Linked DNA regions of Rattus norvegicus. The protein of the gene in region 6 purifies or fractionates together with the protein of the main gene of each other region. This does not show direct contact. Links are inferred from orthologs where the notes say so. Each region holds a gene or a part of one and is shown on either strand. Other genes may lie near its edges.

Region 1 (3,500 bases), on a different chromosome or scaffold from region 6:
AGAACTGCACAGAGGTTCCAGGGAGTAGGGGTCACTCACCATGGTGGCAGCTCCCTGCTCCATCTTTCTCCTTCGTTTGCAGTCTACCTGGAGACACATCCATCTCCTAGGAATTGCTGGCTCCCCATTCTTCCTTAAGGAGGCATTCTCTGCTGAGGACCCAGCTCTGTCCCTGGCCTTGGGCTTCCTGGGGGAGAGGAGCAGAAAGGAGCTTAGATTTAAAAGTGAAATGTGTGGGCAAAGGCAGCATGACCAAAAGGCCTCAGCTACAGGAGAGCTGGCATCCTGGGGACCTGTGAGAGGCAGTACCAGGCTACAGAAAAAGATAGGGCGGGCCTTGAGGGCCAGACCTGGAGCCATGTGGACTTTATCCTGGGAAGCAGAGAGCCTGGCCTCCCTGCCTCTCCCTGGGAAGGGCTCCAGGGGCTGCCTAAAGCTGGCAGCCCTCAAGCTTGATTCCACACCCACACCCCAGTAGAGCTGCCTGGCAGGTGGCCCAGCTAGGCTTGCCTAGCCTGCTGCTGGCCAAGCACCTGCAGGGAGTAGCGGTTGTCTTTGCCCAGGCTCTGACTCACTCAGTCACCTAGCTTTGGGGGGAGGGCACCATTCTGAGGACCAGCCCTAGGAGTCCTCTGTCTAACAGCATGGAAGCTGTGGGGAACCCAATCTAAGGGTGGCTGTGTAGGTCAGCAGATGAATGACAAAGGGGCAGGGGTGCAACACACATGTCATATAGGGAACTCACAACAGACCAAAATTCAGATACCACCAGAGTCAACATGGTAAAGCACTGGGTTTTATTGGGGTTACTTACAGGAGTATAGGTAAGGGGTTACGTGTATAGGAGCAGAAATGACTCAAAGTCAAGTCATATCACCAAAGCCCACTCTAACACGGGTGACAGCTCACAAAGTGGGAGCCTAGAGTACACTGCACAGCATACAGGCAGCTCAGCATGTTGGCGACTATCCTCTCCTAGTGACTCAGTTGGTCTAAACATCTTCCAGGCACCTCAACTAGTCTCTGTTTCTTCTAGGCAGCTGGTTTGGTCTTGTCTTCTCTGTAGCTTGGCTATTCTTTGCAGTCTTCATTGTTTTCTCTGGCAGGGAAAGGCTTAGTGAATCCAGTCAGTTTCAGGGCCTTCCTGAAAGCTATTTTGAGTTGTTCACCTCTCTGCTTAAATACCTTCCCTGTAGGATGAAATGTTTCAATCTCAGAGGAATCTGTTAAACAACAGAACATCAGGCAGGTCCAGTTACAGTTATGGTAACCAAGCAGAGGTGCAGGGAAGCCTGCTGCCCAGGGTCCCACTCCATAGCCCAGACTAGCCTGGGGTTCCCAGTCCTGCTTCCATCTCCCAAGTGCTGACATTGCAGACATGCACCACCAGGCTCAGCTCTGTCTTCTGAGCTCTTGGGATTCATTTGGGCTTGTGGGAAGCAGGCAGGGCTCCTTTAATTACTGTGGCCCACAGCTGACCATTGGATATTTTAAAAGTATTCCCTGATTTACTCTTCCAGCTCTCCAGGGCGACTGCTGCCAGTGTCCCTTCCTAGAGGAGAAACTGAGACCAGCTGAGATAATCCAGGCAGCCCCATCATCACTGGCTAAGCTGGGACTTGAGCTGTATCTTCTATCCCCATTACCAGAGGAAACAGGAAAATTAGAGCCCCAGTCTCCCAAAAAGCCCCAGGGAAAGCAAGCTGCTGACTGCCACCTACAGAGTCCCTCTTATATGCCAAGTCCTAAGTCCTTCCACAGACTCCACTTCACAGACCGGGACACTAAGGTGCAAAGAATCCAGGCTGTTCTAAGACTCTGGCCTCACCCACCAGCTGCACTGGGAACCTGAGACCTGTGTGTTCAGCTGGACACCTGGTTGGCTGTAACAGGGCCAGAGGTGTTTAGTAAGAGCACCTGCTTGAGCTGAAGCCCTGTCTCTAAAGCCACCCTGTGGGGCAGCTCTTCTATGCTTGGTGGGGATGTAAAAACTGAGTCGTGGGTGACACAGGCCCAGGGTTGCCCTGCTAGATGTGGTAGCCCCTGGGTGGTCTGACTCAGCCCAGGGGGGTATAGGCCAACGACATCACAGTGCCCCTGGTGGCTCCTCTGGGATAGGTGGCTGGCTGTCCAGAGAGTGACACCTGTTCCCTCCCTCCCTCCCTCCCTCCCTCTTCCCGTCCAGGTGGTGAAGGTGAAGCCTAATGACAAGGATGCCAAGATGAAGTACCAGGAGTGCAGCAAGATTGTGAAGCAGAAGGCCTTTGAGAGGGCCATTGCAGGCGACGAGCACAGACGCTCTGTCGTGGACTCTCTGGACATCGAAAGCATGAGTGAGTAGGCCTGACTCTATACCCCTACACGCTTATCCCTGCTACACTTGGTTGGTAAAGACAAGGTCTCAGAGGGCATCTGAGAATGTAGGTGTCACCTACAACTGCTGTCTTCCTTGGCCCTCTCCCTCCATGCCAGTCCTCTCTCTACATCCCAGTCCTCTCTCTACATCCCAGTCCTCCCCCTCCATAACAGTCCCCCTCCCCCCAATCTTAATCATAACAGGGTGACTTATGACTAAACTCAGGGTGTCAGGATTTTTCCTTTGTCACATTCTAACAGGTGCCTTGTCCTGGCCCATTCCCTTCTGGTTAGACTCAGGGTGCGTGGTGCCAAACGTGTTGGTTCTATTTCCCCACCATGTCTTATGGATGAGGTGGCCTTTTTATTCACTCTCGCGCTTGTTTTTGCCTGATGAGCTGTGGACATCAGCTGCCCCCGTCAGGTCCTGAAGAATTCGAGTATAATGTTTATAGTGCTATGCTTAAGACTTCCCCAGGTTCCAGTAATCTGTGACAACACTTCACAGTTAGAAGGGGAGAAGGGGAACTAAGATGGGGAAGAAGAAACAGTAGTGGGATCGCTGTGGCATCTTTCTCTCCTAACAAGAGCTGTGTCTACCCCATCTTCCAGATGGCAGGTGGATCCTTAGATTTTCTCAGGTGTGCAAGTCCAGGGTTTCTGTGTATCAGGACAGAGACATAAAGGATCTAGTCTAGGCTGGCCTCAAACTCATGATGGTCCTCCTGCCTCAGCTTTCCAAGTGCTGGGCTTACAGAGCTGAGTCACCGTGCCTGACATCTCCCCTCATTTAGCCAGCCAGTCCTTTGGATGCTTGTCCTCTTTCCTCTGTGGTGAACTGACTGAGGAGCATGTTTCCCTGCCACAGTGTCAGTGTTGAATCTTGTCACAACCCATTTGTAGTCCCCTGAGGCCACCACCATCACCCTGACTCACCAGCTCTTTAGGGAGTTCACCCACAAGACTATCCCATAGCTACCAGCAGTTAGGCTGTACCTGAGGAGACAATATCTAGACTTGGCTCCCTCTGCTGTGCTGCAGCTCCCATGTTCATTCATTTCCTGCAGCCTGGGCTTTCTGGCGTTTGTACCAGGGATCCCTAGAAACTACCAATGGTCATTCACCATCCCTGCTTTAGTGAGCTC
Region 2 (3,989 bases), on a different chromosome or scaffold from region 6:
ACCTGATAAAAGAACAACACCTATTTATTCAATAAACATGTTACTTACTATTTAGTACTTATATTTAAAATTAATAACACACAACATTTTCTCTCAAAACATTAAAATAACAATAAAAATCAAGAACTCAATAAGAAACATTTCTTAAAAAATTCTCTCATTACTGTACATTTGGAAGTGTATGGTATTTTCGAGTAAATTACACACACGAACTAGTATATGACACTTATGATGCAGGAAATCTAAACCTGTTAGCAAAGAAGAGCCCTTAAGCCAGACATCAATGACTAAAGGTTGTGACAGGAAACCAGATTATCCTAAAAATTAAATTACTAATTTAACCTAAGCACATTTTACATTACATTATATTTAGGCTTCTTAAAAGTATTTTTATGTAAAATATAAAACCCAGGTTAAGAGACAAACATACAAATGTATGACTTGATAAATTAAGACCAGCTCCTCCAAGACCCAAGGACAGAGAACTTTCCTACTGCTGTAGAAGTCTGGCCTTATCACAGCTGCTTCCTTCCCTCCCTATCTTTGTTTTTATGCAAATCACTTCCTTGTAGGTTTTTTTTTACAATAATAATTTGATCATTTAAATTTGCATTCCTAGACATCAGAGCCTAGCACTGTGCTTCAAAAAAAAAAAATTAGTACAGTTTCTTTCCTAAACAATAGTACTAAGACTAATAAATGATGCCCACATTGAAGTGCCTCACTGAATTGGAAGCTAAATACATTTTTTAAAAAATTACCCACAGTAAATGCTATTTACTGTTAGAATTATGCAAATTTGAACTTCAAATAAACAGGGATTAGTAGTATTTCCCTTGTACTGGGTCCCTGCTCTTTTAGCATATTCTTTTATTTACATATGCAATGAAATAAAATTTTATTTGCAGAGACAGTGCTTTTTTGAGAATTTCCTGAACTAAAAACAATGTCTGACTATATATTAATATTATTCTTTGGTCATAAGACAAATTTCACACCTATCCCAAGAAGACAGGTCAAGGCTGTAATTTCACTTTCAGTTGAACAGAAAGGAGTCAATTTTGTGGTTTGTGAAGTCAGCAAAACCTAGCTACAAAATTAAAGGTATGATAACATTACCATAGTTTTATGGTAAAGTACACATTTTAAGAGTTCTATCTTTTATCCTAGAAACATGGAATATAAATAGTCTTGTATTTAAGTTTCAATCAAAAGCAAACTCTCTCTCCCTCACCAAATTTAGGACCCACTGAAATGTCAACCAGCATTTACATTTTCACTGAGGTTTTGCTGGTATTCAAAAATAAGATATAGCTAAATGCTGACATAGCAAGAAGAAGAGAAAAAAATTCCTGAGGAACAACTTTCCTACAGTTGTGTTCTCTCTCATACGTGATGCATTTAAGAACTTTGGCTTTTAATTTAACATCCCCTATCCTCCCACTCAAAATGTTTCCAGTCCACAACCATTGTGCTGGTTAATAGAGGTAGCATGCATTCAGCCTTAAATGGAGTCACATATGCACACTTAGTGACATTTTCATTAGTATGTAATTTAAATTTAGATTAAATTTAAACACAGGATGTTTAAACACTTTCAATTGTCAAGATACTTTTAGTATAGTAATTTTACATAATGCACGAATATACTAAACCACAATATCCTGTGAAATCACTAATGTAAAAAACACAGCTGTGGAACACACGAGAGAGGTACTACGTTATGTTTCAACTGCAGACTTTTCCTTTATTTATTTCGATAACTGTCATTAGTCATTCCACTGCTGTTTCAATCACTTATGCAAAGAATAACCACATCAAAACTACGCTGTACCCCCATTCACTACAGCAATCCCTATGCTAGAAACGATATTCCCACTTTCTTAAAACAACTCTTTCCCAAGCCCAATAGAGCAAAAGCTGGAAGCAATTATCAGGAAGCAAAAAACGCTCAAACAAAATTTTCGTTAACAGAGGAGGACAGAGAGCCGAACCCAAGGGAAGGCGGAGTGGCTTGACACCTTAAAAGTGGCCACTGATTGTAACATGTCCCAACACCCTCAAAACCAAACAAAGGAAAACTTTATAAACACGTCGTGGTTTTCAATCAAACCAAGCACAACTCGCCGCTCACTCTCTCGCCTCCCGCGTTCCACTCCTCGCTCCGGACAGTTGCTGCGGGCGTCCGGCGACACAGACCTCCAGCCGCTAGGACGATAAGGGGCCGCTCCCCTACCTCAGGGTCGCGAGTGACTCCACGCCCTTCAGGACTCAGGGTGCAGCGGCGGCACCACAGAGGCTGGATCACTGCACGGACTCCCGCAGGATCGGGAAGTACTGGACAAGGGCGGGGACCGAGGCACTGGGCAAGCAGGTAGTGAGCCCAGGAGACACGCCCGCCCGCCGGCCGGACCGGGGGAGGGGAGAAGTTTCTCCTCAACTTCCAGACTCCCCGCCCGGCAGGCGGACAGAGCCGGGAGCGGCGGCGCCTCGAAAAGCCGGGGAGCAGGAGGGCGGATGCCGAGGCCTAGAGCAGCCCGGCCAGGGTCAGTCGCCTACGTTGCGAGGCCACGCCGCGAGCTTACCTGGGTCCGGCCGCACTCGCACGGGTCGCCTCGGGGAGAAGGCGGCCGGCCGAGGCGGACGCCCGCGGGGCCCTCTCCCTTCTCCACCTCCTGCTTGCGGGGCGCCGGGAGGCAGCGACGGCCGCACAGCCGGCCCGGGACGCGTTACTTGAGGAGGAGGGAATTCCCGGGCGCCCGCACCCCACGGCCTCCCTCTCTCCTCCTCTCGCCGCCGGCCCCGCCCCTCCGCTCCCGACTGGGGCGGCCGCGCGCCGGGCAGGGGTTGCGGCTACCTGCGCGCGCCCGCTCACCGGAACTCGCGCCCTGCTGCTTGCTTGGAGCGCCTTCCGGCGCGGGAGCTCTGCGCGGGGTCCGCGGGCGGCTGGGAGGCCTGTCAGTGTCACGCCTGCCGGCCCAACATGGCGGCGGGGGCTGGGCGGGCTCCTGAGGGGGCGTGAGGAGAAAGCAGTCTGTGGTTCCCTGCCTGCCCGCGCGCGGACTACCTCTACGAGCGAAGCAGGGCTCCGCCTGGCTCACGGAAACACCGAAGAGTGTGGGGCTTTGTTTTGGGAGGGTGGTCGGGGTTGGGGCTCTTTGGAGAGAGGTTGACTGTTCGTTTCTCAACGTTGTGTCTCCGCACCCTTTGTCACTAATAGTAAAATCTCAGTCCAACCGCGAGAGCCACCGGGGCGGTGCTGACACCTTGGTCGCGGTCCAAAAACGTTCTCGTTTGGCCTTTCCTTAGCTGGGATCCTGTCCCTGCCCCAGAAGCTTCCTGTTGACTGTAGGTCGAACCAGCCTTGCCGGGAGTGGAACCGAAGCTGAGTTGTGTTGGCAACTCTCCCAGGAATGGTGGCTTTCACTTAGCGTGGGACAGCATTTTATTTGATCCTAGTAATAGGGAACCCGAACAGGCACTGTGACTCTGCTTGAGGGCAATGGAAACTGAGGTTAGGGCCCCCCAAAGTGAAGAAGTCACAATGAAAGGGTTTTCTCTTCCTCAGGAGGCCTTGCATCTTTTTCTACTTGCCTTGTAGAAAAAGTAAGGGTTCAGGAGGAACTGGGGTAAAGATGAAAGTCAAGGTCAAGAGACTAAATCTAGATGTATTTCTGCTAAAGGCACATCTGCCTTATCACACTCTTAATTTCCCTTTTGTATTTCCTCTTTGATGGGGTTATTCGAAGTATTAATGTGGGACTCTTGGTTTCCTTTGTGGTTTTCAGCGAAGTTCAGCATCATCTTTGGCATATTCTAAATAGCACCATCGACTCTGTCAGTATTCTGGTATTCTAGGAACTTAAATGCACACAGTTTTAAAAAGTTTCTTCAAAGAAAGGGATGGGAATCCACATGAGCACCTACGTGTGATGTAGAATGGTGATTTATTTTGCCATTGACTGAGACATTACGTTTTATATATAAAC
Region 3 (4,135 bases), on a different chromosome or scaffold from region 6:
AGCACCAGGGTCACACCGCTTCTCCTCCTGGCCACCAATTCTATCAACAGCTGGGGACATGGGGACTCAGGGGCTTCCCATGAGGATGGAAGGAGCGCTGGCCACTGAAGGAGGTACTGAGGAGGCCCCTCCCCAGGTGCCAGTCCAGAGAAAGGAGAGCAGGCTCCATTCTGGGCTTACTACTTGGCAGTCACGTGACCTCTGACAAGGGCCTTCATGACTCTGAGCCTCAGTTTCCTCGTTCACAAACTAGAGCAGCCCCTCCCCCGTCACTGCTGCCCCCAAGACCAGTGATAACAAGATGGAGGGGTATGAATGAGAGTGGCCAGAACAGCACATGGCACCTGCTTGCAGGGAGGGCAGCCCTACCCTGGATCTTGAGGGGTGAATAGGAGTTCACCAGGTGGATACAGGAGAAGAAATATTTCAGGCAAACGGAGTAGCATGCACAAGGATCAGGAGGTATGAGCACCGAGACACGCATAGGGAAATGGAAAACCCACCTCTTTAGCCAGGACTTGGGAGCACTCTCTGACGGATCCTCTCTACCCTCCAGAACAGCTCAGATCAAAGTCCCCAAGCCTTACCTGCTCCAGGGAGAGGTCCTCAGCCCAGCACAGACCATCAGCTGCCCCCCTCCCAGGGAGACTGCCCACCCTTACCTGCAGTAGCTTACTGTCCTTCCTTGGATGGGCAGTCCGATAGAGACAGCCCCCTCTCTCAGGGTCATCTTGCAGGGACCCCAGACTGCTCCTACCCACCCCTGGCCTAGTCTGGGGTAACCCATTCCCCACCACACTGCCTCCCTCCCTGGCCTCCAGAATACACTGGGTCCTGCAAGTAGCTGGCACCCAGTCATGGAATCACACACCAGAAGAGGGAGGAAGAGAGCTAACGGGAAGGTGTGGGGAGAAAATGGAGGGTCGGATCAAACAGGTGGGATGCAGGATAAGCTAAAAGGACAGGGAGAGAGCTGGAGACACACAGGGGTAGTGGAGGAAGCACATGCAGAGAGCAGTCCCCAGCCTCAGCGAAGCATCCCCCTCTACCTGGCCTCGGTACACACCTGACATCCACCTTCCTCCTAAGGGCCAGCGAGAGAGAAGCAGAGAGAAGGAGAGGCTGAGGTGCGAAGACAGGACCCAGGACAAGGGAGGAGACTAGTCGGGGTCTAGGGAGGACCACCACCCACCAACTGCAGAAGCAGCCCTGTAGGCTCTGCACCGCCCTCTGCCGGCAGCTCTGGGTATAGATGGACCCACGCTCCCAGTGCAGTCCCCGTCCATCCACTCACGTGTTATTGACAATCTGCAGCCGCTCCCCTTTCTTGAAGGACAGGTCAGTCTCTGTCCGTGACTCATAGTCATAGAGGGCCACAAAGGTAGTCACCCCACCTGCAGAGTGGGATGGGAGGTGTCAGAACCCTGCAGGGGGTGGGCGTGGGAGGCTGCCTTTCTCACTCACCAGCCTGTCCCTGAGAGGGAGCTAAGTAGCCTGTGCCTCCCTGCCGGGCTGCAGACTAGGTGCTCCTTATCTGATATGTCTACTGACACAAGCAGAAGCCCCAGAGAACAGGTTCCCTTGCTCTGCACTCAGACCCAGCACACAATAGGTGCCCTAAGCCCCGCCTATATGTGTGCCTGGCAACTTAAGGCTTTGGTGCAAAGCTTCAGGACTCTTCTCCTGATTCTCCCCTCACCCACGGCTGCTCCTTGGACTCCTGCAGCCCACCCTCCGTTGCCCAAGGCTCCACAAACGCCTCTCAAATGGTCGAATGGGTGTGTGGCTGCATGGCAGGGAGTGGGCAGCCTGTCCAAGGGTCTGTGGTGGGATGTGGGGCTGGGAACCTTAGCCCATGTCTGCTTTCTGCGTGCAAGCAGGCGCACAGGCCCACCTGAGGGGGCGAGGTTGTATGCACACCTGTGTCTGTGTGTGCTCCGCACTGCAGGCGTCTAGCCTAGGTGTGTCTCTAGGAACACTGGGGGCCTTTTGTTGTTGTTGTCGTCTCCACTCAGTGCGAGGACATGCCCAATGTGGGCACATAGCATGGCTGAGTCTGGGTGGGATCTGAACGAGTGGGTGTGCAGCCGTGCGTGTGGCTGAGTCCGAGTGCGGGATTTGCACGCACGGGTGTGCAGCCGTGAGTATGGCTCCGTCAGAGCGTGGGATTTGCTCGTGTGGGTGTAGCCATGTATGCAGGAGCATGAGTCACCCTGCTCAGCCCCTGGGCGGCAGGGTTGCCGCACCACGCAGCGCCAGCAGAGGGCGCAGGGGCGCACTCGGGCCACCACACAACAGAGCCAGGAACAAAGGCTGGGCGGGAGGTGGCAGCTAGTCCATGGTGGTCCTTCTCCTCCGGGTCTCGGGGTCCCCTACAACCCTCTCCTTCGGAACCCGTTATACTCTGAATCTGGCATCCCCAAAGCGGCAGGAGCCCCGCTTTCCAGTTTACGAGCCCTTCTCCATTCGCAGCCTCTGGAAAACCAAGTCCCCAGAACCCAGAAAGGGTGCACCACAGCTCTGGGACACTCAGCAAGGAGGAGGGCCTACCTGCCAGAGGCCCCGCCCTTTGTGGGGAGGTGACAGTGTCCGAGGAGTTGAAGCCTCCGAAGAGCTTGGGCTCGGCGGCCGCGGGGGGCACAAAGGCGGCATTGGGCCCGCGGTGGCCATCGGCGGAGGCAGGCTTGCTTGGTGTCTGTGAGGCAGGGAAGGCGCCACCTGCCCCATGCACGTTCTCCGCGGGCTCCAGGCTGCGGCGCCTCTGGCTGGCGTCCTTGGGCTTGCTCTTGTTGCTGCCCATGGTCCTGGCTGGGGGCGACAGAAATCCCCCAGGTAGAGGAGAGATCTGGGAACAGACAAGACACCCTACCCACTAAACAGATAGGCAGACTAAGGTCCTGAGAAGGGGACCCTGCCACCCTGGGAGAGTTCGTCTCACAGTTTCACCTGTAAAATGAGATGTTGGCGCCTTAGGACACAGCTACAGATAGAAGACATATATACCAGTCCAAAGCCCTGGGTCCAGCAGGACCCAAAGTCAGCTTTAGTCTTTCATAGGCAGGGACACGAGTCATATCTGTGTCCCCAGCACATAGGAGGGACTCATTTAAGTTTTGCTGAATGAATACATGTCTGACAAGTTGTCTAACACTGGGGGAAAGGTGTTAAAAGTGTTAATTGAAGCAGCAGTATAGTGGCTTGAAGAGGAGATGGCCAGGCCTTCCAGCCACAAGACCTTTGCAAATTCCCTGACAACTTCCCCTCCTGTGATGGTTTGTATATGCTTGGCCCAGGGATCAGCACTATTAGAAAGTGTGGCCCTGTTGGAGTAGGTGTGTTACTGTGGGTGTGGGCTATAAGACCCTCATCCTAGGTGCCTGGAAGCCAGTATTCCGCCAGCAGCCTTCAGATGAAGATGTAGAACTCTCAGTTTCTCCTGCACCATGCCTATCTAGATGCTGCCATGTTCCCACCTTGATGATAATGGACTGAACCTGTGAATATGTAAGCCGGCTCCGATTAAATGATTAAATGTTGTCCTTATGAGAGTTGCTTTGGTTGTGGTGTCTGTTCACAGCAGTATAACCCTTACTAAGACATCTCCCCAATCAGTTTACTTCAACTCTCAGCTCAAAGTCACTTCCTGGGTTGGGGAGATGGCTCAGCAGGTAAAGGCACCTATCATAAACCCTGCTGACCTCAGTTCAGTCCCCAGAACCCACATGGTGGAGAGAGAGATGGGAGAAAGGGTCCTGCAAGCTGTCCTCTGACGTCTGACCTTCACACATTCGTGGTTCACATACATGCCTTCCCATAAGCGCACAGAAGAAAGGAAGAAGGGAGAGAGGGAGGGAGGGAGGGAGGGAAGGAGGGAGGGAGGGAGGGAAGGAAGAGCAAGCAACAAAAATGTTTCAAGTCATATCCTTTAGAAGGGGGTCTCCAAATCCTTTCAGGAGCCCCCAGACTACTGTACCAGCCTTGGCTATATGTAACCCCCTCTCCTTTTAATTCCTGGTGCGCACAGAGTGAGGTACACAGCAGGTGCTTAATAAACAACCAAATGAAAGATGAAAGGGAGAGAAAGTTTGAGAGGTCCTGAGACCTCGACACAGAGGGACCAAGCAGAAGGCTTCAT
Region 4 (3,500 bases), on a different chromosome or scaffold from region 6:
CTCAGTACCTACCGCCAATGTCTTTCCAGAGCCAGTCTGTGCAATGCCAACCATATCCCTGCCGCTAAGAGCCAAAGGAAATCCCTGGCACTGAATGGGAGTTGGTTCTGTAAAGTGCTGATCCATCAGCACATCCATTACATATTCTGTAAGAAAGGAAACACATTACCACCTTTACTAATAAAACTAAGGATGCATATCAAGTCCTTAAAAAGTAGCAGTTACCGATGGTAGGACTGACTTTTATTATTCTCCAAAAACTTTAAATCCAATCTCTGGCCAGCCCAACATTACCCAACACTATCCTAACACACCCAATGGCAGCAGCTCATGGCTCATTTACTGTTCCCAAAGTCCCTACAATATCGCAGAAGCGACGTTCTGCTCCATTATAAAACACGGGCAGAACACTAGTGGAAGTTTCAGCACCAAAAACAAAGCAGAGGCTGAGGAGACGATTCAGCTGTTAAGGGTGCTTGCTGTTCTTGCAGAGAACCCAAGTTTGGTTTCTAGGATCCAGGTAAGACTAACAAGTGCCTGTAATTCCAACTTTAGACATTCTGGTGCCTTCTTCTGGACTCCCCAGGAACCTCACTCCATACAAATAATCTTTCAAAACACAAAAATTTGCACAATATGTTTATCAATAGTAGTAACTAATCTCTGTTCTAAAAAAATAGAAACACAGAAAATTACTATTCAAAGCCAGGTGCGTTGGCACATGACTTTAATCCCAGCACTCGGGATGCAGAGGCAGGTAGATCTTTGAGCTCCAGGCCAGCCTGATCTATAGTGAAGCTTTATCTTAAAAAATAAAAACTTTTAAAATTTTATTTTGGGTGTGTGCCAGCGTGGATCTGTGTCCTCCTTTCATGTTTATTTGGTTTCCAAATTTGAACCCAGGCAGTCTGTACCGGCTGATTTTGTGTGTCAATTTGACACAAGCTGGAGTTATTACAGAGAAAGGAGCCTCAGTTGTGGAAATGCCTTCATGAGACCCAGCTGTAAGGTATTTTCTCAATTAGTGATCAATGGGGGAGGACCCAGCCCATTGTGGGTGGTGCCCTCCCTGATTTGTAGTCCTGAGTTCTATAAGAAAGCAAGCTGAGCAAAAGCCAGTAAGTAACATCCCTGCGTGGCCTCTGCATCAGCTCCTGCTTCCTGCCCTGCCTGAGTTCCCATCCTGACTTCCTTTGGTGATGAACAGCAAATGGAAATGTAAGCTGAATAAAAACCCTTTCCTCCCCAATTTGCTTCTTGGTCATGATGTTTGTGCAGGAATAGAAACCCTGACTAAGACACAGTCCACACTCTCTCACCCACCTGATTGGCCCCATCTAAATTACTCTTTTCCTTCTTTTATTTTGAGACTCTGTGTAGCCCTAGCTGTCCTGGAACTCAGAAACCTGCCTGCCTCTGCCTCCCGAGTGCTGGGGATCTAAGGTGTGCACTGCTACCACCACCTGGCCACTATCTTTTCTATATAAAAGGTTTCTACTTATCTTCTAGACAAAATCCTGAAACTTTCAAAACCTTTAAGTACCCTCTGTAATGCAGGATTAAAAACCACTTACGCGGAAAGTTTGCATGATGGAAGGCAAAGACCGGTTTTGGACAAACATCTCCCCCTCTCACTGTAATCTCCTTCTTTCGACGTAGCTCATCAACCTCATACTGTGGGGAAGAAAAATGAAGACAATAATAAAAGCTCTCAATTTAGAAACTTTTTTTTTTTTGTTCTTTTTTTTTTCGGAGCTGGGGACCAAACCCAGGGCCTTGCACTTCCTAGGTAAGCGCTCTACCACTGAGCTAAATCCCCAGCCCCAATTTAGAAACTTATCACAATGACATATGCTAAGGCTTTTTACATGAATCCAAGTCTGTGACGCACATGACTAGGAGGAGAAAACCCTCAAGAGTAGTCCCTAGCCAGGCCAGTGGTGCTTTGTCTTCTCTGTACAGCAACTCAAGCTCACACCTAACTTGATCTACAAAACAAGTTCCAGACCAGCCAGGGTTACACAGTGAGACAGTCTACAACAAACACAACTTGGGGCCCAAACTCTCTTTCCATTATATAATTTTTTCTGGATAAGCTATCTTCTGGGTAGAACACACCATTAGGAGGTTAAAAGCACACAAATATACAATGTTAAACTAATTTTACAAGTATGTAGCTTAATGGTAGCTTTTGATTTGCAACTCCAGTAAACCTGGAACTTGCTATGTAGCCCAGGCTGGCCTCAGACTCAGAGATCCAGCTGCATCTGCCTTCCGAGTATGAGGACTAAAGTCACATGCATATGGTGCTAGGTTTGAGCGTAGCACCATTAAAGAATATCAGCTCAGTGGTTGATTACCTGTCTTCATGGACAAAGCTCAGAGTTTGACCAAGAAAAAAAGATCACAGGCTGTGGTTTCCCATGCCTAGAACCCTGGCAGTCCAGGAGATACAGTAACAGGACAGCAAGTTAAAGACTAGCCTGGAACTACATAGTGAGACCATTCTACAAATAGAATGATTTTATCACATAAAAACTAAAACACAAAGGCAAGGCATGGTGACATAATTCTTTAGTCCTTGTATCACTTGGAAGGCAGATGCAGGTGGATCTGAGTCTGAGGCCAGCCTGGGCTACATAGCAAGTTCCAGATTTACTGGGGTCACAAATCAAAATCCTGTCTAAACAACAACAACCTACTTAAAAACATTAAAAGAAACTTGATGGGGCACATGCCTTTAACCTCACTTGGGAAGCAGAGCCAGGTGGATCTCTGAGCTTGAGGCCAGCCTGGTCTACAGGCTGAGTTCCAGGATATCAAAGGACTACACAGAGAAATCCTGTCTCAGAAAACAAATAAAATACCCACACACAAAAACAAATTAAAGATGACATAATATAAAATCAGATATAAACACTTGGATTATTAACCTCTATTTAAACATTCACTCATGCCCCCCTTTTCTTACCGGAGTCAGTCTTGCTACTTCTGGATGTTCGACATAAAAATTCTTCTCAAACTTGGGGAGTTCACTCAAATCCCACTTCTTTTTTCGTAACCGCTCCCCAGGATTACCAAACTTCTTCGGGGGAAGCCCACTACCACCTCTTGCTCCAAACCTAGAGACACCAGAAAATGTAGATTCATTAGTACCCATCTCAGACTTCTTGCACTGATTCAGTTTTCCACCCACAAACACTGACAAAATTACTTATACCAACTTGATACTAAGTGTAGTTTTTAAATGGCACCAGAGATTCTAGACAGAATAAAAACGAATGGTCTCTGCTCTTGTAGGGAACTGGTACTCTTTTAAACTGCAAGAGCAGTTTAAACTGTGGACAGGGAGAAAAACAGTCTTCACGTAAGTCCTTCAAATTTACAACAGCTTCTTGGCCAATTTCCCCACTGATGCTGGGGCCAGAACTTCTCTGCTAATCTATAAAGGCAAACTAGTTGGGACACTAGGTCCAGTGTTTAGTTTACTCTAAAGAACC
Region 5 (3,500 bases), on a different chromosome or scaffold from region 6:
GGGGCTCATCAGCTGTGGATTTAGCATTAATTGGTGAGGTTCAGGCCAATGAGAGACCCTGGTCCAAGAAAGATAGATAGTGTTCCTGAGGATGACACTGATGTTGTCCTCTATGATCCATATGCATGTGCACACACATCCAAGAACAGAGATGCAAGTGTTTAAAAATCTTTGATATATACCGCAAATGTATTTCTCTCAATTAAAAAGTGTTAAAAAATAAGCAAAACTCCCCCTGATACTCCTTCATCTTACATCATTTTTATTTTTTTCCTTTCTCCCTTTCTTCCACAGACTGCATTCTTTTGAAAATATAAGTGTTTTTTCCACGTACTAAAATACATATGCAGGAGGAAACAAGGAGACCATTCACTTGTGCACATAGACACACATCAGCATTCTCCCTTTCTGCTTCATTAGAAGTGGGCCTAGTTTCCGAGGATACAGAGTGCTATGATTTACAGATCTGCAGATCTCATTAACTTTTTCCTGGAAAGCATAACAGCTGAATATAAGCATGCTAAGAGTTTAAAGTACCTCAGATTCAATGAAAAAGATTTGTGTAAAGGAAGAACAGTAGGATAATGAAGCTCATTACGGTTTTTCTATTATTTTTGAATTTCTAATTTTAGTTTGGGTATTAACATAAAAGGATGTACATACAAATATGTGCATATAAAACACTTACCCCTTGTGTGTGAAGATACTCAACAGTTTTGGTTATAGTAAACAGGACAGCACTGGCCTCTCGCTCTGAGAAAAACTTCTGTCTAAGAATTTTATCCAGCAATTCACCTCCTTTCATAAGTTCTGTTACTACGTATACGTATTTTCCATCATCATACACCTATAAAATTTAACATCAAAACAAAAAATATTTGAAGCTTTGTATGTCCATAAATTACTACTTAAACATACTAAAGGTGAGTGAATATATTAAAAGAAAGATAAAAATTGTACATTCAAGAAAACTTTACTTGTGAAAAACCAGTGCAGGATTTCTGGTTAAAAAGTCATTTATAGTAAATAGTTTCATATTTAATGTGACTAAGTCGGCATTCTTTATCTAAGAAAAATTAGTCTGAGAAAATCGTTTTGACCCTAGCTAAATAGACTTTGAGCCTATGTGAGCACCAGCAGCAAGAAAGAGCTGACTACTTACCTGGGAAGTGGATATTTTTTTGTTAATACTCAGTTATAATAAAAGCTATGGGAGACATAGGTATCTGGAGAGCCCTGGAGGTGGTAATGGTCAAGAAAGGCTTCTTGGGAGGAAGTAGCCCATAGGGAAATCTTAGCTTTGGTAGTCAACCAGGCAAAGAAGGGAAATGATATTCCCTCTTTTTTTTTCTTTTTTTTTCCAGAGCTGGGGACCGAACCCAGGGCCTTGCGCTTGCCTACCGCTGAGCTAAATCCCCAACCCATGATATTCCCTCTTAAGGATCCACACACTCAAAGAGCACTTGAAGAAAATAAGGCATGCATGCTTTAAAAAGTCTTCATTCCAAATAAAGCATGGCCAGAACGTGTGTAATGAAATATGGAGAACTGCTGTAGAGGAAGGCAGGTGGGAAGACAGTTTGGGAGCCTTCAGAGAAGTGAATCAATCTTGATTAACATTAACATTTTCTATGTTCAAATTCACATACTATAAACAATAATATTAAACTAGGTTTTAGAGCAAAACTAGAAAATTAATTACATATTTTAAGGTTTTGTTTTTATTAATTTTTAAGATTTATTTTTATCTCTGTGCATGTGCACACATGCATGTAAATGTGAGTGTTAGTGTCTGTAGTGACCAGAATCATCAGATCCCCTGGAGCTAGAGTCACAGATGATTGGTTGTAAGCCACCTGAACTGGGTTCTAGGAAATGGACTTGGGTCCTGTGGAAGAGCAACAAGTGCTCTTAACCACTGAGCTGTCTCCCTAGGTCCTACAATATTGTTCTTAATCTACCATACATACATACATACATATATATATATATATATATGTGTGTGTGTGTGTGTGTGTGTGTAGATATATTATACATATATCTACACACATATATGTATATTATACATATACATGTATGTGTGTATGTACATATATATGTTAGTATACAAAGTATTGAGTTTCATCATGGGATTTTCATACATACTCTTTTGTTTTTTAAAATCAATCCTTTTCTTCCACTACATTCCCCTCTAATCTGTGTCTGTCCTGCTGGTTCCCTCCTTCCTACTCTTATGATCTCATGTTGTCTTCTCAAACTTCCCTTAAGATATCTTTATCACCTTTCATGGTCACCTTTCTAGTTTCATGACCTATATGTCTTATTTGTATACACACACACACACACACACACACACACACACACACTAAAATAAAATAAGTCTAGGTCAAAGTCTTGGAAACTTTGCTTAAGATAATCATTTCCACATTCATCCATTCTAACTTACTTTCTAGGATGATTATTCCAAAGTAGTCTCTGTCTAATTCAGAATATTAAATATTGAAAAATACCTCAAATTTGAGTTTGTTAAATAATCTACTTACATCTTTTAGGGTAATGATGTTTGGATGCTGTCCGTAACGAAGAAGAATTTCAATTTCTTCTGTTGGGTCTCTCTTGCTTTTATCAATAATCTAAAAGGAAGATATTTAACATAAAATTTTATGAACATGAACCTCAAATGTTTATAGTTATAGACCTTAGGTATCATCATATGTAACTATTGCGCATACAAATCACTTATCAGTCATTTGTAGTTAGCTATTTAGCCAGATTATTTAATTAGAAAGCTAGTCTCCATACAGATGGCAAGGCTATGTAAAGCTAACCATGTGACACATTCCTACCAGGTTACATTCCTACCAGGTCACTCCAAGGTGAGTTTTTTCTTTTTTTTTTTTTAGCACAGTTGTGACTTACTAAAAACTCAAAAGCCTCAGGAAAACCTACCAATAACAAGGTATCATATCATTTCTTTTCATCTTTTAATTTCTCAAACATTTGAGAATTCAGTTAATTTCTAATTCCCTATCAATACAGATGACTTTGAGATAAATGTGTCTAAAATACCAGCATTAGCATCTGTATGAATTGGCTTCTTTAATTAAGTATTCTAATGGACTATCACATTGGATGTAAGCTACTTATAAAAATTAAGTAAACATGCAGGGGAATATGGGGAGGGCAATAAGGGGGATGTATCGGGGGAATATGCATATGGGGGAGGGGGAGGAGGCTTATGGACAGGGAACCTGGAAGGGGACTAACATTTGAAATGTAAGTAAAGAAATATATCTAATAAAAATTTTTAAAAAATTAAGTAAACAAACTTATTTTTGAAGCTAAGTAGAAAGCTCTCTATAAAACAACCCTGAAAAAATTACTTGACTAGAATAAAGCTCTTTAAAATAATAATGTAGCTTTTAAAAATTTGTCAGTTGTTTAACATTTTAAAATGTTTTAATATTTTCAAGTACTATACATACATATATACTTTTAAA
Region 6 (3,500 bases):
AAGGCTTGGCCTTTGTCTCCTGTATTCAGTGCCCATTCTACAAGCTTGTGGGCCCATCTGCTAATGGCCAGTCTCCTGGCTCAGCTCACAAGCACTGGCAGGTACCACATCTTCAGTGTACTCCAACAAGGTCTTAGAGACACCCCAGTTCTCAACTGTTCTACACTGCCCTGCTCTCAGCATCCCCATTCCTTCAGAGGAACCAAGTTCGGTACCCATTATCCACATGACAGCTTGCAAACACCAGTAACTCCAGCTCCAGGGATCTAACACCCTCTTCTAGCCTCTGAAGATACTTGCATGTACATGGTGCAAATAAACTCACTCAGGCACACACACAGCAACCAAAAATTAAATATTTATCTATTAAAAAAAAAAAAAAAAAAGGTTGGGGATTTAGCTCAGTGGTAGAGCGCTTGCCTAGCAGGCGCAAGGCCCTGGGTTCGGTCCCCATCTCCGAAAAAAGAAAAAGAAAAAAAAATGAGGCTAAAAAATTAAAAAATTAAACATTGAGGGGTTGGGGATTTAGCTCAGTGGTAGAGCGCTTGCCTAGGAAGCGCAAGGCCCTGAGTTTGGTCCCCAGCTCCGAAAAAAAAGAACCCAAAAAAAATTAAACATTGAATTATATAATGTTTTGCAATAATTTACATTATAATATATAATAAAATTACTTAAATATTAAAAGTAAATAAATAGAAATCCTCAAATAGGGTCAGCAAGGTGGTTCAGTGGGTGAAAGTGCTTTGCTTGTAAGCCTAACAGCTTGTCTGAGCACAGGAACCCACATAAAGGTAAAGAGAATCAACCACACAATGCTGTCCCCTGATCATATGGGTCCACATATACATCATACATACATACACATATATGTAAGAGACATACGTCCACATATATATATACCACACATATACACACATCATAGATCCATACAATTCTTATAGATTTGAGAAAAAACAAATATGGCTACATTTGGCCACTGTTATCCCCAGACCACCTCAAGTGCTGCTCATAAAGACTGACCTCGGGTCCCTAGTCACACACACTGTAGACCTGGTGGTACAGGAATCATTACCTTGATCTTGGTGAAAAACTGCCGGAAGCAGGCCCGGGGGTCGACCTTCAGACTCTTGGCCAACTCCAGGATGAACTGCATGACCATGGTCTGGTGAGCCACCTGCTCCATCAGGGCACACTTCTGCAGGACAGAGAGGCAGGGTGTCGGTCAGCCGGCGCCAGGGTCGGGGAGTCTGCGCAGCCGGGCAAGGCTGTACTTACCTCCTCGACTTCCAGGTCAATGCACCAGATAACCAGGTAGTTGGCTGTCTCCTCGCACACCAGGTGGACATTGTCTGACAGGTACTTCTGGCTGTCATCCCAGCGGTGGAGCATGCCTGCAGGGAAGGATGTTGGGAAGAAGACGTTGCAGAGGCTGTTGGAAGCCTTCCCTGGCCTTGACTCCTAATGGAGCCTTTGTGCAGCTTACCGAAATGTTTGATCTGTTTCTCGTATTTTTCAACGAAGGTCTTGTGTTTCTGCTCCCTTGCCTCCTCTGAGTCTTCCTCTGCCTTCTCAGGCTTGGTATTGACCATGCTCTGTGACAGGGCGAGAGGGCAAGTGGGCTGGGGCAAGGCAGGGGTGCGCCTGGGGTTTGGGGGCCGTGGCCGCCGCGCCCATCCTGTCCACATCGGAGGCGGTGGCGTCGCTAAGTGCATCAAGGTGGCGGAGGCATGGCCGCGGGCCTTCGGGCAGATCAGAGGGTACGGATGGGCTTCGTTGGCCTCCACTAGCCAATCCCAAGCTCAAATTGTCTGACTGTCTGTCTGACCGTCCGTCCATCCCCTGCCCTCACACCCCTCCCCATGCTTTGCCTGGCTCTCAATGTCAGAATTCTTTTCCTGGTTTACTGGGATGGGGAGACAGGGGTGGACCTAGGGTCTTTACAGGCATGTCTAGCCTCCACCACCCAACTACCCCAGTCAGTCTGACCGTACTCCATAGCGCTCTTGCCGGTGTCCCACCTTGCTGAAGCCATCTTTGCTGAGTGTGTCCACATTCCAGGGCATGTTCTTCTCCTTTTTGCGCATGTCCTCCAGCTTCTGCTCCCAGCTTCGCTCCTCCTTGCGCAGCTGCTGTGCCTCCGCTCGAAGCCGCTCAAGCTCCACCTGGCCACCACCCTCAGCCACTTCCAGTTCCTTCAGCTTGCGCTGGCACTCGGCTACCTTGCGCTTGCATTCCCGGCAGCCCCGGTCCAGTTCTTCTTTCTCCTTCTGAAACTGTTCCATGCGTTCCACCCGGGCCTGCAGGCAGGGACAGTTAGCAGCCGGTCACTTAGAAAGACTTTAGGAGGGGTTGGGGGTTTAGCTCAGGGGTAGAGCGCTTGCCTAGCAAGCGCAAGGCCCTGGGTTCAGTCCCCAGCTCCGAAAAAAAGAAAAAAGAAGAAAAAGGAGAAAAAAAAAAAAAAAAGAAAGACTTTAGGAGCTGGGCATGGTGGTGCTCACCCTTAGTCCCAGCACTTGGGAGGCAGAGTTGGCCTCGAGTTCGAGGCCAGCCTGATTTACAATGTGAGTTCTAGGAAAAGGGATGACAGAGAAACTTTGGGTTGGGGGAGGGGAAGAACAACTTTGTTCCTTCGTATTGGCCCAGCAATGGCCCCAGGCTTCAATCTCTGTACTGGACTTGACCCCAGGAGATGCATGTACTGATGTCCAACCCCTGGCCTCCAAACTGCTACCCTGCTACTACAGGGACCAGACACACCTGGGTCAGGTTACACCCATGGTCCTTACTGCAGTACAAACTGCCATGTGCTGCCTCCCTGCTGGTGCTCTGCTGCCACGTTTCTGTATTTTTTTTAAAATGATTTATTTATTTTATGTATGTCAGATCCCATTTCAGATGGTTGTGAGCCACCATGTGGGTGCTGGGAATTGAACTCAGGACCTCTGGAAGAGCAGTCAGTGCTCTTAACCACTGAGCCATGTCTCCAGTCCCCACGTTTCTGTATTTTTAAGACTAGATTTAACTAAGGAAACTGTCTCTATGTAGCAGAGAAGGAACCTGAACTCCTGATCCTTCTGCCTCTCAAGTGCAGGTCCAAGATAGGGCAACAGTAACTGACTGTGTGATGGGAGCAACTAAGCAACAGACACCTTGTTCACTTTAATTTTGGAAACAAACGCACAACAATAAAACCCAGCCACATGCGAAGGTCAGAGGACCATGGGCAGCAGTTCCACCGCGTGTGCACTAGGGATTGAACTTAGGTTGTCAGGCTTGGTGGCAAGTGCCTTTACCCACTAAGCCATCTTGCTGGCCCCTGCTTACCATCCTGAAACATCTTGGGTTGCTTCGCCAGCACTACAAGCAAAACCAAAGAAAGCCCTAAGTGGTCACGGTGGAGCACCCCGGTAACCAAGCATTCTGGGAGGCTGAGGCAGGAAGACTGAGTCTGTACCAAGCCAGCCTAGGCAACTCAGCGAAACCTGTCTTGAAATAAAATC
Region 7 (3,500 bases), on a different chromosome or scaffold from region 6:
GGGCTTTATCTGCCATTGCTTTGCAAAGCCATGAGTGGCCATGTGGCAGAGTAATGGCTAACAGAGGTACAGTAGAGGAGTGGGCATGAGGAGCTCAGTGAGGTGGCTTCGGGCTGAGCCCGAGACCCTTTCCTACCTGTTGTTATGCATGGAGCACAGTCTGTTAATCAAGTCAATGCAAACCATGTTCAGTGTGTTTGTTAGAAATTACTTGGAAATATTCTTTCATAATTTTTCTGATTGGTCAATATTATTAAATAAATTTATTTTATGATAATGGGAATAAGATTAGGACTGTTGACCTGAAATGCTAATGTCCCTGTGCATGATAGAAAGAAAGTATCAAAGGATAGTTACTTGTGCTAAACTTCAGTCCTCATACTCCAGGAAACATTTGTTAAAAATAATTATGAAAATGTCAGAATTATCATTTAATTTTTAATTGACTGATAAAGGCAGAACATATATACAAAGTACTTGCAAAGAATTTTACTAGGAAAAATATGTTTTTTTATAACTTTTGTTTAAATATTTGTTTAGCAGCTCTCTGACGTGATCTCTGTGGGTGAGAAGCCCCTGGCGGAGCATGACTGGTACCACGGTGCCATCCCCAGGATAGAGGCACAAGAACTGCTGAAGCAGCAGGGAGACTTCCTGGTGCGAGAGAGCCATGGGAAACCTGGTGAATATGTCCTTTCTGTATATTCTGACGGACAAAGGAGGCACTTTATCATACAGTTTGTTGATGTACGTGTCCAGTCTAGTTCATACGTATACATTGACGTAATCCATTGTGGTAGACTTGAAATATACTGGTGGATGGCTTATGAGAATTGCTTTCCACACTCTTAAGTTTAACATTAACTCTGCAGTAACTCCATAGACATAATGCTCTGAAACTGACTGAAATATTGATCTTACTGAGAAAATATCATTAAAAAGTTAATAAAGTTAAATTTAAATGGAAATCTCTAAAACGTTGAATTTGAGTACTAAAGTATTTTAAGTTAAAAACAAAAGTAAGGGAAATACCCTGTATTTTCTTTCCAGTAGTAAAATTTAAGGTTATGAGCTGTGTACCTCTTTAACTAGTTTCAAACTATAATCTATTTTGTTGAGTAGCATTAAGGAAAGTCTTCAATTCAAGAGGACTTAATTTATTTATGATTTACTATTACTGTTTTTTCTATTTTTCTTTAATATCTGTTGACTTTAATAAGCAGTAAATAGAAAATGATAAATATAAACAGTATATTCACATTATTTATTCCAAAGCTAATACTTTTGGAAGTTTTAAAAATTTAAGTTACTTAATGACTTACTTATGATCATTGTGTGCGTTTGTGATGTGTGGGGACAGGGCAGTGCTGCTTTTCACATGCGTGCAGGTCACATGACAGCTCACCAGAGTCACTTCTCTCTAACTCTTTGGCTCTGGGGAGTCAGACCCAGTCTGCCAGGCTTTTGCAGCAAGCAGTAAGCATACTCACCCACTGAGCCCTCTCATAGGCCCCACCCACTGAGCCCTCTCATAGGCCCCACCCACTGAGCCCTCTCATAGGCCCCACCCACTGAGCCCTCTCATAGGCCCCACCCACTGAGCCCTCTCATAGGCCCCACCCACTGAGCCCTCTCATAGGCCCCACCCACTGAGCCCTCTCATAGGCCCCACCCACTGAGCCCTCTCATAGGCCCCACCCACTGAGCCCTCTCATAGGCCCCACCCACTGAGCCCTCTCATAGGCCCCACCCACTGAGCCCTCTCATAGGCCCCACCCACTGAGCCCTCTCATAGGCCCCACCCACTGAGCCCTCTCATAGGCCCCACCCACTGAGCCCTCTCATAGGCCCCACCCACTGAGCCCACTCATAGGCCCCACCCACTGAGCCCTCTCATAGGCCCCACCCACTGAGCCATCTCATAGGCCCCACCCACTGAGCCTTCTCATAGGCCCCACCCACTGAGCACTCTCATAGGCCTCAGCATTGCCAAGCCTCTCCATAGTACACTGGCATTATTAGGCACTAAATAGATGAATAGTAATTTAGACATTTTCCCCTTTACTTACTGAGAAATTTATAGTGTCAGTGCTTTTGGCAAATGAATTGTTGCCTGCATTTGTTATTTTTCAGTCCATTATTTGAAATTGCTCACATCTGAAAAATGCCTGTCCACAGCTTTAGTTTATGTCAAGGCACAAGGCTAATACTAGGTACCTACAGAAAGATTAACCACAACCACAATAAGCAAAGCCTATAGGATTTTAGTGACTTAGAAACTTGTATACATACAAGTGTGAACTTAGGGTTGACTGATTGAGCCATGAAACTTAGATTAATGGGCAGTGATGAATTAAAGATAAAAGCATATTTTAAAATAAAATTTTGGTGGAAATCTTTATATAATGGCATTGTTTATTCTCTTGTTCATTCATTCATTCATTCATTCAGAATATGCTTACTGAGTATTATGTTAGAACTAAACATATGAGCCAGCAACAACACAGAAGTAATATTTGATATGTGAAATTAGCAGTTAGTTGAATATATTAAAAAGGTACTAATAAATCATAAAGGAAGGACGGAACGTAACAATAGCAGAATCCAACACTGAACATTCATCCCTGACTAGATCAGAATCTAACCAGAAAAGCTAGCAGAGGAGCAGCGGAGTTGACCCATATCCTGGACACATGGGGTGGAGACGTTATAGAGCATTCGTCCAGCGACCACCGACTAAGCCATCCACTCAACTGCCGTGCACTGAGCTTTTTCCAGGACAGATTATGTCACAAAACAGTGTCTTTTAAGAATTAAACAACAACAACAACAACAACAAGAAAGATGAAGGCCCCTTTCCGATCTCTGTGAAGCTGGAGCCCAACACAGGAAGACCCTGGAAGCAGTGTTAATGCATGGGAATGGAACATTTCCCGAGGAAACTGCCACTAAAGGCAGCAGATGAGAAATGTAAGATAAGCGAGAATGGACGTACATTACACTGAATCTTACAGAACTCGGCAGATGTTCCCATTCTCATAGTGAGAGCCTTTCACACACACACACACACACACACACACACACACACACGTTTGTGTATGCATAAACATATAAATATAGCCCGCTAAGACTTTTTTGTTTATGTGCATATAGTTTGGGAGCCACTTGTACTGGACAGCCATTTGCAGGGCTCCTCCATGGGAAGAGCCATTATCCATTGCCTGTAGTGTCTTGTCCAGGGGTGTGACCCCATTAACCCCCCCACCCCCGTTCATAGCAGCAGGACTTCAGTAGCTTTTTCTTAAAAGAAGAAATGTAAACAGTAACAGACATTTATGAAAGACGTTCAACACCTCTGATGATATCAGTTAGACCACTGGGAACACATCTGCTTTTCAGAAGACAGACTTGAGAGCTGAAGCTGGGAGGAAGTGGAGAAAGAAGCATACATTTTGTTGGGAATGTCAACTAGCGTGGTCATTGTGGAGATCAGTGCGAGG

What was found.
Region 1: the proteins of Cdc37 (region 6) and Ppp5c purify together in Homo sapiens (affinity purification with mass spectrometry; 4 studies listed by BioGRID and IntAct, with this or other methods). This does not show direct contact. The link is inferred for Rattus norvegicus from reciprocal best matches to the Homo sapiens genes CDC37 and PPP5C.
Region 2: the proteins of Cdc37 (region 6) and Yes1 purify together in Homo sapiens (affinity purification with mass spectrometry; 3 studies listed by BioGRID and IntAct, counting the BioPlex papers as one, with this or other methods). This does not show direct contact. The link is inferred for Rattus norvegicus from reciprocal best matches to the Homo sapiens genes CDC37 and YES1.
Region 3: the proteins of Cdc37 (region 6) and Src purify together in Homo sapiens (affinity purification with mass spectrometry; 3 studies listed by BioGRID and IntAct, with this or other methods). This does not show direct contact. The link is inferred for Rattus norvegicus from reciprocal best matches to the Homo sapiens genes CDC37 and SRC.
Region 4: the proteins of Cdc37 (region 6) and Ddx17 purify together in Homo sapiens (affinity purification with mass spectrometry; 3 studies listed by BioGRID and IntAct, with this or other methods). This does not show direct contact. The link is inferred for Rattus norvegicus from reciprocal best matches to the Homo sapiens genes CDC37 and DDX17.
Region 5: the proteins of Cdc37 (region 6) and Rps6ka3 purify together in Homo sapiens (affinity purification with mass spectrometry; 3 studies listed by BioGRID and IntAct, with this or other methods). This does not show direct contact. The link is inferred for Rattus norvegicus from reciprocal best matches to the Homo sapiens genes CDC37 and RPS6KA3.
Region 7: the proteins of Cdc37 (region 6) and Fer purify together in Homo sapiens (affinity purification with mass spectrometry; 3 studies listed by BioGRID and IntAct, with this or other methods). This does not show direct contact. The link is inferred for Rattus norvegicus from reciprocal best matches to the Homo sapiens genes CDC37 and FER.

The regions. Positions count from the first base shown.
Region 1 is NC_086019.1:86,829,006-86,832,505, reverse strand, and holds part of Ppp5c (serine/threonine-protein phosphatase 5), read left to right. Parts: intron 1-2,185; coding exon 2,186-2,333; intron 2,334-3,500. UniProt on the Homo sapiens protein: Serine/threonine-protein phosphatase that dephosphorylates a myriad of proteins involved in different signaling pathways including the kinases CSNK1E, ASK1/MAP3K5, PRKDC and RAF1, the nuclear receptors NR3C1, PPARG, ESR1 and ESR2, SMAD proteins and TAU/MAPT.
Region 2 is NC_086027.1:120,645,671-120,649,659, reverse strand, and holds the start of Yes1 (tyrosine-protein kinase Yes), read right to left. Parts: upstream 2,801-3,989; 5' UTR 2,586-2,800; exon of another isoform or gene 2,135-2,585; intron 1-2,134. UniProt on the Homo sapiens protein: Non-receptor protein tyrosine kinase that is involved in the regulation of cell growth and survival, apoptosis, cell-cell adhesion, cytoskeleton remodeling, and differentiation.
Region 3 is NC_086021.1:166,543,353-166,547,487, reverse strand, and holds the start of Src (proto-oncogene tyrosine-protein kinase Src), read right to left. Parts: upstream 2,801-4,135; coding exon 2,551-2,800; intron 1,395-2,550; coding exon 1,295-1,394; intron 1,085-1,294; coding exon 1,067-1,084; intron 1-1,066. UniProt on the Homo sapiens protein: Non-receptor protein tyrosine kinase which is activated following engagement of many different classes of cellular receptors including immune response receptors, integrins and other adhesion receptors, receptor protein tyrosine kinases, G protein-coupled receptors as well as cytokine receptors.
Region 4 is NC_086025.1:112,983,248-112,986,747, forward strand, and holds part of Ddx17 (probable ATP-dependent RNA helicase DDX17), read right to left. Parts: intron 3,123-3,500; coding exon 2,972-3,122; intron 1,675-2,971; coding exon 1,575-1,674; intron 147-1,574; coding exon 13-146; intron 1-12. UniProt on the Homo sapiens protein: As an RNA helicase, unwinds RNA and alters RNA structures through ATP binding and hydrolysis.
Region 5 is NC_086039.1:39,348,185-39,351,684, forward strand, and holds part of Rps6ka3 (ribosomal protein S6 kinase alpha-3), read right to left. Parts: intron 2,634-3,500; coding exon 2,544-2,633; intron 848-2,543; coding exon 689-847; intron 1-688. UniProt on the Homo sapiens protein: Serine/threonine-protein kinase that acts downstream of ERK (MAPK1/ERK2 and MAPK3/ERK1) signaling and mediates mitogenic and stress-induced activation of the transcription factors CREB1, ETV1/ER81 and NR4A1/NUR77, regulates translation through RPS6 and EIF4B phosphorylation, and mediates cellular proliferation, survival, and differentiation by modulating mTOR signaling and repressing pro-apoptotic function of BAD and DAPK1.
Region 6 is NC_086026.1:27,956,931-27,960,430, forward strand, and holds part of Cdc37 (hsp90 co-chaperone Cdc37), read right to left. Parts: intron 2,298-3,500; coding exon 2,019-2,297; intron 1,740-2,018; coding exon of another isoform or gene 1,593-1,739; coding exon 1,484-1,592; intron 1,392-1,483; coding exon 1,276-1,391; intron 1,196-1,275; coding exon 1,073-1,195; intron 1-1,072. UniProt on the Homo sapiens protein: Co-chaperone that binds to numerous kinases and promotes their interaction with the Hsp90 complex, resulting in stabilization and promotion of their activity. Inhibits HSP90AA1 ATPase activity.
Region 7 is NC_086027.1:111,103,463-111,106,962, forward strand, and holds part of Fer (tyrosine-protein kinase Fer), read left to right. Parts: intron 1-540; coding exon 541-747; intron 748-3,500. UniProt on the Homo sapiens protein: Tyrosine-protein kinase that acts downstream of cell surface receptors for growth factors and plays a role in the regulation of the actin cytoskeleton, microtubule assembly, lamellipodia formation, cell adhesion, cell migration and chemotaxis.